3 linked regions of the Cricetulus griseus genome follow. The protein of the gene in region 3 interacts with the protein of the main gene of each other region in a pairwise test. Links are inferred from orthologs where the notes say so. Each region holds a gene or a part of one and is shown on either strand. Other genes may lie near its edges.

The links.
Region 1: the proteins of Ndn (region 3) and Fxr2 interact in a two-hybrid assay, tested with the Homo sapiens proteins (2 studies listed by BioGRID and IntAct). The link is inferred for Cricetulus griseus from reciprocal best matches to the Homo sapiens genes NDN and FXR2.
Region 2: the proteins of Ndn (region 3) and Mkrn2 interact in a two-hybrid assay, tested with the Homo sapiens proteins (2 studies listed by BioGRID and IntAct). The link is inferred for Cricetulus griseus from reciprocal best matches to the Homo sapiens genes NDN and MKRN2.

What each region holds. Positions count from the first base shown.
Region 1 is NC_048600.1:83,475,768-83,479,520, forward strand, and holds the start of Fxr2 (fragile X mental retardation syndrome-related protein 2), read left to right. Parts: upstream 1-907; 5' UTR 908-1,263; coding exon 1,264-1,344; intron 1,345-3,753. UniProt on the Homo sapiens protein: mRNA-binding protein that acts as a regulator of mRNAs translation and/or stability, and which is required for adult hippocampal neurogenesis. Specifically binds to AU-rich elements (AREs) in the 3'-UTR of target mRNAs.
Region 2 is NC_048601.1:29,241,959-29,245,711, reverse strand, and holds the start of Mkrn2 (probable E3 ubiquitin-protein ligase makorin-2), read left to right. Parts: upstream 1-1,372; 5' UTR 1,373-1,484; coding exon 1,485-1,510; intron 1,511-3,753. UniProt on the Homo sapiens protein: E3 ubiquitin ligase catalyzing the covalent attachment of ubiquitin moieties onto substrate proteins.
Region 3 is NC_048596.1:135,134,306-135,136,846, reverse strand, and holds Ndn (necdin), read left to right. Parts: upstream 1-980; coding exon 981-1,958; downstream 1,959-2,541. UniProt on the Homo sapiens protein: Growth suppressor that facilitates the entry of the cell into cell cycle arrest.

The sequences.
Region 1 (3,753 bases), on a different chromosome or scaffold from region 3:
GTGATGGTCAGAAGACAACTTGCTGGAGGTGGGGGTAGCTCCAGGAATTGACCCCAGTCGTTAGGCTTTATAGTTGAGCATCTTCAAGGACCGATTTTGTTTTGTTTTGTTTGAGAATTTTTCCTGTCTTGAATTTCCTTAGCATTTATGTATCAAATCATGTTGCATTTTCTTTTCGATATGGGCTTGAATTTACTAGAATCAACTTAAGGCAAGCAGGGCAATGACAGGCATTTCTGTAATTTTTGCACTTGGGAGGTATCAGGAATTCAAGGTCACTCCCCAACTGCTTAGTGAGTTCGTGGTCAGCCTAGGATACAGGAGACCCAGTCTCACCAAACTTAAGAAAATCCACTCCAGCCAAGAACCGTGACTCTTGAATCTCCTACAGATGCAGAGAGTCAACACATGCGCATGGACACCAAAACCCGGGGCGCGTGCGCACCGGACACTTTTTGCCTTCGGGCTCCCCCCCACCCCTGCCCGCACTTTGGAGTGTGCGCACCAAGAAAGACAAAGGTGGTGAAAGTGACCAAGCAGTCATTCCGGCGCATGCCCATCCCTAAATTGCTCCGGCTCTGTGGGGCTCACTTGGTGGAGGCGGAAGTCCAATCCGACGGAGCGGGCGCGGCCCCTCCCTTCTCGTGATTGGTTTGCTCACAGTGTTGTGGGGCGGGGAAAGGAAGGGACAGGGATAGTGGAAGGCTGGGGAGCTGGAGATAGAGCGTTCATCTGGTTCTGCGCAAGCGCAGAGGAGCGACCAGGAGGGGGCGTGAGAGAGTAGAAGAGAATGTGGAAGCCCTGACGCGCTGGCGAGCCGGAGCTGGGTCGCTAGCCTGGACGCCTGCGCCTTGGCCCTCGGGCTCCGCGCGCGGCGGGCGGGTGCCCTGTGCGCCTGCGCAGTAGGCGGCGGCGGCGGCGGCAGGGGAGGTGGAGGCCGTGGAGCGGCAGCGGCAGCAGCGGGTCCCGGACTGAGGCAGCAGCGGGGGGCGCCGGCGGGCGGAAGCTGAGGTGACGAAGGCGACGGCGGCGGCCGTTTCTCTCACGGTGGCGGAGACCAAGGCAGTGGCGGACGGGGAGCGGCCCGGCCCCGGCCCCCTGCTCGTCGGCTGTAGCAGGGCCGCCGTGGGGCCGGCCCGACTCCCGCCCCCCGCGGCTCCCCCTCCAGCTCCTCCTCCTGGGAGACGCCGGGGGCCCGGCCCGGCCCGCACTCAGAGCTCTGCCTCCGCTGCTGCCGCGGCAGTCGGAGGTGGTGGCGGCGCCATGGGCGGCCTGGCCTCTGGGGGGGATGTGGAGCCGGGACTGCCCGTCGAGGTGCGGGGCTCCAACGGGGCCTTCTACAAGGTGAGACGGTGCGTCGACCCGGGACACCCTCCTTAGCCCCCTCCCCCAGCCGGAGCAGGGAAGAGTGGAGCGGGCTCGAGTTTCTGGAGCTCGGTCCTGACCCTTAGAACCTCGACCCACGCTCCCACTCGACACCCTCTCGGGGAGACCGTGGGAGTTAACCCTCGTGCTTTTTTCTTTTTGAGCCCGCTGTTACACCTGCTTTCATCCTCAGCTGAAAGCATGAACATCAGGTCATTACTGCGCGTGGATGGGCGCTCCTGGTCCCTCCGGAGAAACCCCTTTACTCAGCTTCTAATTGACTTTTCTTGTTTCTTAGTGGAGGAGCTACTTCAGCTCCTAATCACATCCTTTCCACGGCACAAGCACATGGGAGAGTCTTTCTTTTCCTACATAACCCTCTTGGGAAGGCCCACTGTCCCATATTAGGTCTTCGGTCTTCAGGGAGGTTTCTGCCTACTGGCTCTAAACCATTTACTCAACTTTCATCTTATATTGTAGGTCTCCATCTAAGAAGAAATGATCAAAACCCACGTGTGTTATTTAGCATCTTTGGCCTCAGGCTTTATCAGCCATAAAAGTGGTCTTGTTGGACAAGTCTGTCACCCCACCACACCTTTATCCCGAAACCAGCTACCCAGAGATGGATTCGTGTTTCTCTCTTAGACTACAGCTACATTTAGGTCATTCCTGTGTTTTCTTAAGTTTAGGCTTCCTTAAAAGGGTGTCTCAGCAAGCTTCTTTTCTGTCCTTATTCTAACAGATTTCTACTTGTTGACAGTCTTTTCTGGAAAGAGAAAGTATCTTTCAGAATTGCTAATTTCAGCATTTCTTTGCCCAAGATTTGATTCCTTTGAAGTGTTTTGGGGGGTGGGGTTGTAACATGTCCTAGCCCAGGCTAAACTCCTACCTCAGCCTTTCAAATTCTGTGACTATATTACAGCCTCGATCTATCAGACCAGACCGGCCTTTTGTTTTTTCCTTCTTTCTATTCATACATCCATCCGACTCTCTGCATCTGGGCTCCCCCTCCCCTCCAGTTTAGATTAAGAGTGACTCTTCTTGCTCCACAACTGTTTTCCTTTATCTGGTAGGTGGAATTCTGAACCTCTTTTGAGGTTTTTTGTTTTTGTTTTTTGTACCCCAAGACAGGGTTTCTCTGTGTAACCTTGGCTGTCCTGTGCTCTGTAGACCAGGCTGGCCTCAAGCTCATAGCCTCTGCCCCCAGCACCGCCCAACTGTTGACTTTTATGTGTGGAATTGTCCTAGAAACTTTTGATCCACCCCTTACTCTTTACTCTGAAGAGGGATTTTCATAGCATCAGGTAAGTTAGAGGAGCTGCCTCACTTGAGTTCTCAGGTCCATTCCCCTTCCCCAGGAGACCTTTCTGCTTTCTCATGCCCTTGGAAACTACTTTCTCTGACTACTATGAAATTGTATCTTTTGTAGCTGAAGAAGGACTTGTGCTTGCCCTTGTAGATGGTTTCTGCCCCCACTTGACTGATAAGTTGGATTTTACTCACTATAAATGCCATGCCAGTTTTGCCTGCCTTTTCTGATTAAGTTCTTTACCCTTTATTCAGTGCATATGGGTGTACATATCTATTAGTCTCAGCGTATCCTCTCAATTAAATCTTGGGCTGTTCATCTTGATATATATATTTAATTTTATGTACAATGGTGTATTGCTTGCATGTATGTCTGTGTGAGGGTGTCAGATCCCCTGGAACTGCAGTTACAGACAGTTGTGAGCTGTCATGTGGGTGCTGGGAATTGAATCAGGGTCTTCTGGAAGAGCAGCCAGTGCTCTTACTGTGGAGCCATCTCTCCAGCCCTTAACTTGATGTTTCTGTATTCCTGTGTAATCTTCACTGATGTCCATCTATTCTTTGTATAGCTGAAGAAAGCTCCCAGCTGATCTCTGACACTATCACTTTCCTTGCTAACTCTTGGTACTTTTTCTTCTGACTGGAAGAATATCTTGATAACATTTGTTTTCTGTGGCAAAAGTCTCAAATTCCTATCAGGTTCTGTAGGACACACACACACACTTTTTTTTTTTTTTTTTTTTTGCGACCGGGTTTCTCTGTGTAGCCCTGGCTTTCCTGGAACTCATTGTGTAGATGTAGACTGGGCTGGCCTACACTCACTGGGATGGTTCAGCTTCTGTTGACTAGGGGATTAAAAGCATCCACAACCACGCCCAATTTGGAAAATGATTGTTAAATTGAGTATGAGATCAAGATAAGATACTTTTGTTCTAGAAAGCATGGGAGCCTTGCACAGCTGAGAAGGATTAGTGCTGAGTTCAAATTAACTGTATGAAATGGTTGGGAAGGGTGTGTTTTCTGTTACATATGTGAGTATCCAGTATCAAACAGATAGTCTCTGGATTTTTTTCATTTTTA
Region 2 (3,753 bases), on a different chromosome or scaffold from region 3:
CCCCGCCTTGCCCCACACCAAGTCCCACTATATAGTCTTGAGTAGTCTGTGTACACCAGGCTGACCTCAAACTCATAGAGATCTAACTATCTCTGCCTCCTGACTAAAGAATTAGAATGAAAGGCATGGACCACCACATCTGGCCATAGGCCCAGTCTAGTGCAGGTGGCCACAGCTGCTGTGAGTTAACATGTCCAGAAGACTGCATGTCCTAGCCCTCCTCCCATCCTCCAGCTTTTACGTTCTTGCTACCCTTTCTTGGGTGTTGACATAGATGTCCTACTTAGAGCTGAGCACTCAGCAGACCTTACATGTTTAATACATTGCATTACCTCTATACAAATGGAACAAATAAGCACAATGTTTCTTGACCAACATGCTGTTAATTTCTATACAATGCCAATTCAATGCAGAAAACTGGGAGACAGTTTTACAAAGCTGAAAATACAACTATAGTTTGCAAGGATCAAAATTGTGTGTGTGTGTGTGTGGGAGAGAGAGAGAGAGAGAGAGAGAGAGAGAGAGAGAGAGAGAGAGAGAGAGAGAGAGAGAGAACACAGAGAGAGAGTGTTTGTGTGTGTGTGCATACTGCTTCAGTTTCTGTTTCCAGTTATGTATGCCTGTGTATTTACATAAAAAGACCAGAGGGTGAGAGGAGCTATTTAGGTTGGATATGATCAAGATACGTTGTACACATATCTGAAATTATCAAAGAAATAAAAACATTCTTATTAGAGGATGCTCTAGTGGTTAGGAGCACTGGCTGCTTTTGCAGGGGATGGAGTTCAATTCCTGGCGTCCACGTGGCAGCAAACAGCTGTCTGTAACTCCAGTTCCAGAAGATCTCACTCCCTCTTCTGGCCTGCGCAGGCACTGCACGCACAGAATGCACAACCACACATGCAGGCAAAAATACCCGTATCATAAAATTAAAAAAAAAAAAAGTAGCTGGGCGTTGGTGGCGCACGCCTTTAATCCCAGCACTCGGGAGGCAGAGGCAGGCGGATCTCTGTGAGTTCGAGGCCAACCTGGTCTCCAGAGCGAGTGCCAGGATAGGCTACACAGAGAAACCCTGTCTCGAGAAAACGAAAACAAACAAACAAACAAAGTAAAATTACTTTTGAAAAAGACTGTCTTGGGGAGATGGAGCCAACCTCTAGGAAGTAACGGCCCTGCAGACGATTGACAAGCCTAGGATGCCAGACAAGCTCCGCCCCGTAGTCTTGGAAACGTGAGACCCGGAGCGCTAGGGCGTAAGGACCTTCCGGCAACACGCCCCGGCGGAACCAATTATGACGGCGGTTAAGTTTCCGACCGGCACCCTATAGGTGACGCACGCGCGGGGGTGGTGCGCGCGAGAGTGACGCGACTGCTTGCGCGGGGCGGGGCGGGGCGGGGCGGGGCCGGGCTGGGCCGTGGCGCTGGCAGCTGTAAGATTTCAGCGCGACTCCAGCCCGTAGCCCCGCCGCCGCCGCCGCGCCGCCATGAGCACCAAGCAGGTCACCTGCAGGTAAGTGCGCGACGTCGCGGGGCCCTGGGCGCTGCCGGGGGCTCGGAGGGAGGTGCGGGGTCGCGCCGAGCCGCGGCGGGCTGTGTACAGCGGCGATAACACGCAGGGGCCCGAAGGCCGCGGGGGGCTGGAGCGGCGAGAGCAGCTGCAGCGGCGGCTTGCAGAGGGCGAGCGAGGCGGGATTGCGGGAACCCCGGCTGGTCGCATTCCTCATCCGGAGCGGAAACCCAGACCGCCGAGAGAGGCTAAAGCGAGACCCCTTTAGGAGCAGAAAGACGGCAGTAGTGGCTGGCTTGTTAGGCGAAATGGAGAACCAGAAAGCTGCCCTGTGACTGCTATTTTGAAGTAAAAAATAGTAGTTGGGTTGAATAGCAACGTCGAAACTCGGTTACTGGGGTTTAGTCCTGTGGATTTGCATGCTTGGGAAGTGCAGCTTGTGAGCATCCCGAATGTAAAAATCCAAATTTCGAAATGCTTCAGAATCCCAAACTTTTTGAGTTGCCGGCATGGTGCGACGAGTGGAAATTTCACAGCATGAAATTTTGTTATATTGAAATACAAAGTTATCTCGGAGATATTGTACAATTTTTTTTCAGGATATGTATATAAGCGTATATGAAGTGATGAGTTCTGTGTTTACACTTTTGTGCCATCCCCAAAACATGTACATGAAAATACTCTAAAGTACAAAACATTCAAGACACTCCCCAGACCAAGCATTTTGGATAGAAGAGCCTCAGCTTATACAAGTTTCAGTTGGTTTTTGTAAATTAAGAAACAGATGTAGTTTGGTTATGTGATAAGCATTTCATCTAATACCTTGTTGCTTCTCATTAGGGCGGGTACCTGATGCCTTTATGAAGAGTTCGTTTCGAATTCGATATAAGGGTTGAGCCAAGTACCCAGGGCCCAGGTGGCTTATGTTAAGTAGTTACCAGAAAAATTGCAGTTAGTGTCTGTGTGTTTTGTGTTTACTTGACACAAGTCAGAGTCATTTGGGAAGAGGGAACCTCAATTGAGAAAATGCTCCTATCATACTAGCCTGTGGTTCATTTTTCTTTTCTTTTTTTTTTTTTTTTTTTTTTTTTCAAGGCAAGGTTTCTCTGTGGCTTTGGAGGCTGTCCTGGAACTAGCTCTTGTAGACCAGGCTGGTCTCGAACTCACAGAGATCCTCCTGCCTCTGCCTCCCGAGTGCTGGGATTAAAGGCGTGTGCCACCAACAAACCCCCGGCTCATTTTCTTGATTGATGTGGGACGGCCAAGCTCCCTGTGGGTGGTGCCGCCTCTGGATTAGTGGTCCTACCTCTGGATTAGTGGTCCTGGGTGTTGTAAGAAAGGCTGAGCAAGGCGGGGCTGTGGTGTTGTGTGATGCTGTGTTGGCTGTACCTGACAAGACATCTTAATAAAGGAAGGGTTTATCCAAGATGAAGAGGGAGTCGTTGATAGGAGCTTGAGAGAGTTGATCACATCACACCTAGAGAGCAATGACGGTTGGTGCTCAGCTCACTTTTTCCTTTTTATTCAGTGTTGACTCCAGTCTAAGGAATGATACTACCATGTTCATGATGGGTCTTCCCACCTCAGTTGACTTAATCTACAAAATCCCTCACTGACATGGCCAGGGACTTGTCTCTTTAGGCATTGCAATCAGTGGCAACTATCACAGTCCTGATCTATCAGCTGGTCATCTTCCTCAGTGAGACAACCTCAGGACTGTCAGGGTTTCCCTAAGCTTAGCTTCAGAGTGGCACAAGTCTATTGCTAACATTGATTCTCATGACTTATGCCCACCACTACCCCGCTAAACTGTGAGTCTTAATTTCACGTATGTGGAGATCACAAAACACTTTTAAAAATACTGTGTCTGGAAGGGTGCAAGTGAGCCTGGGTGCGTGCATGCATGTGTGAATGCCATGCAGTGGTTTATGTGTGAAAGTCAAAGTACAGCCTACAAGGATGGGTCCTGCCGTGGTGGCAAGAGGAGATGGAATTCAGGCCCAGCAAGCATTTTCCCTCTGAGCCGTCTCACTGGCCCAGTGAAAGGTTTCTGAACATGCATGACGATAACTCAGAGTCAAAATGTGATGGATCCAAGGTGTTTCTTCTGTGCCACAGAGCTTGCTGCTCCTTGATGCTAAGCACAGGGTACACCAGGCGCTGTGCATGCCTTCATGCTACCCACTGCTCCAGTCAGTTCAGATTCTAGACTGTTATATTTTATGAGTTGCAGGGTGTGTGTGTGT
Region 3 (2,541 bases):
AGACAAACTCTTATTTGTGTCAATTATATGTGTATATTGTGTAAGTGTATGCAAATTTATGAGAAGGGTGTTGTGTATCCTGCTCTATTGTTCTCTACCCTATTCCTTTGAGACAGGATCTCTCACTGAACCTAAACTTGGGCTGGTTTCTGGCAAATGCCTGTAATTCTCCTAATTGTACCTCTCAGAGCAGGGTTTACAAACACAGACTATGCCATTACATTTTTTGTGAGTCTTAGGGATTTGAACTAGGGTTCTCACACTTGCACTACAAATGCTCTTACCCATGGACTGAGCCAATTCCCATCCCAATAAAAAAATGTTTAAACACACACCAATTATGCTATATAATTTTATTACTTCCAAAACATTCAAATTCCACTTGGGCTGATTTCCAGTGTCTGTAATGACACTTTATATTCTTCCGTATTGGATCTGGACTCAGGTTTGGTAAAGATTTGCTCTATTAATTTTTCAACATTCCAATCTTAAACATCACATTATCTTCACAATGCTCGCACTTCCAAAAAAAAAAAAAAAAATCAAAAACTCATTACTGTCTCACTCTTTTGTAGAAAGTCCAAGCTCTCTAGCCAGTCTACCCCCTTTCACACAAAAACTCAAAGGTGCTCTAACTTGACTTCACCATCTCAGCTGCATCTTTCTACTTAAACTTGCTCCTTCCCCATCACCATCTCTTTCTAGCTCACCCAGGAGACCTGGAGATCTTTCCCATTAGTTTAGTGGTACCCTCCCTCAGACCCCAGTGGTTGGGCTTTGCATCTCAGCTCCTATCCAGCCCTACCACCCTTCTGGCTTGCCAACACGCATGCGCAGTGTCAAGTCCGCCCCGCCCGGCCGCTGCTGCGGAAGGCACAGCTCTCAGTAAAGCGCACTTCCTCTGCTGGTGTCCACTGAGGGAGTGCTGGTTCCAAGAGCTCCAAGTCGCAGCGGTCCTGCTCTGATCAGAAGGCGCAGACATGTCGGAACAAAGTAAGGACTTGAGCGACCCTAACTTTGCACCTGATGCCGCCAACTCCGAGGTGCAGGAGAGCTCTGAGATTCCGGTGGGGGTCCCTCCTCCCACATCTCCAGCCGCGATCGTCGCAGAGGCACCAGAAGCTCCTGAAGGCCCTATGGCAGCCCGGCAGGCCTCGCCGCCGCCTCCAGAAAGGTTAGAAGATATTGACCCTAAGATTCTGGAGCAGGCCATAGAGGAGGGCCGCGCCCACAATCCCGATAGCCCGGTCCGTCAGCTGCCAACACCACCCGCCCCGGCCCAGGTGGTGCAGAAGGCGCACGAGCTCATGTGGTACGTGTTGGTCAAGGACCAGAAGAGGATGGTCCTCTGGTTCCCAGACATGGTGAAAGATGTCATGGGCAGCTACAAGAAATGGTGCAGAAGCATCCTCCGGCGCACCAGCCTCATCCTTGCCAGAGTTTTTGGGCTGCACCTGAGGCTGACCAATATCCACACGATGGAGTTCGCCCTGGTCAAAGCCCTCAGCCCAGCAGAACTGGACAGAGTGGCGCTGAACAACCGTATGCCCATGACAGGCCTCCTGCTCATGATCCTGAGCCTCATCTACGTGAAGGGCCGCGGGGCCAGAGAGGGAGCCGTCTGGAATGTGCTGCACATCCTGGGACTGAGGCCCTGGAAGAAGCACTCCACCTTCGGAGACGTGAGGAAGATTATCACCGAGGAGTTCGTCCAGCAGAATTACCTGAAGTACCAGCTTGTTCCCCACAGCGATCCTCCTGAGTACGAGTTCTTCTGGGGGTCCAGAGCCAACCGTGAAATCACCAAGATGCAGATTATGGAGTTCCTGGCCAGGGTCTTTAAGAAAGATCCCCAGGCTTGGCCCTCCCGCTACCGAGAGGCTCTGGAGCAGGCCAGAGCTCTGCGGGAGGCTAATCTTGCTGCCCACTGCCCCCGCAGCAGTGTCTCTGGTGATTAGGAAGGTCCCCAGCATGTTGATAATTTCTGACCCATACTTGGGCTGTATAAGGGTGGGGTTGGGTCATTAGAGTATTCCACATTCACAGTGCAGTATTTCATGTGTAACCTTTAAGTTTTCCTTACAGTGCTTTTGTACCTTTCAATGCAATATATTCATTTGTGTTCGCTTGGAGCGTGTTAAGGATTTATGCATGTGCGTTTACAAGTAAGCAAGTGGATGCTTTCACTTCTGTGCTTTTTTGTACAAGAGATGTGCTGTGCTGAACCTGTGAAATCCATTGAGATGTTGTGTATCTATTCTTTGTATGAAAGTGATGATCTGTATCAACATAAAAGCCCAGGAGAGTTAGGAGGTGAGCAAAGCAGGCCTGACCAGAGAAAGGTCAAGGGCCCTCTTATATGAACTCAACTGGCACAGGAAGCATCCCTGTGGAATGGACTGATTTGAACTGGAATGTTCTCAGTGTAGGCACTTAGCACACCCTACCAAACATGTATACAACCCCACCATAAATAAACTTTGAAGTGAGCATTAAAGATCCTTGTGGAATAATTTCTTTGGGGGGGTATTTATTTTGTGG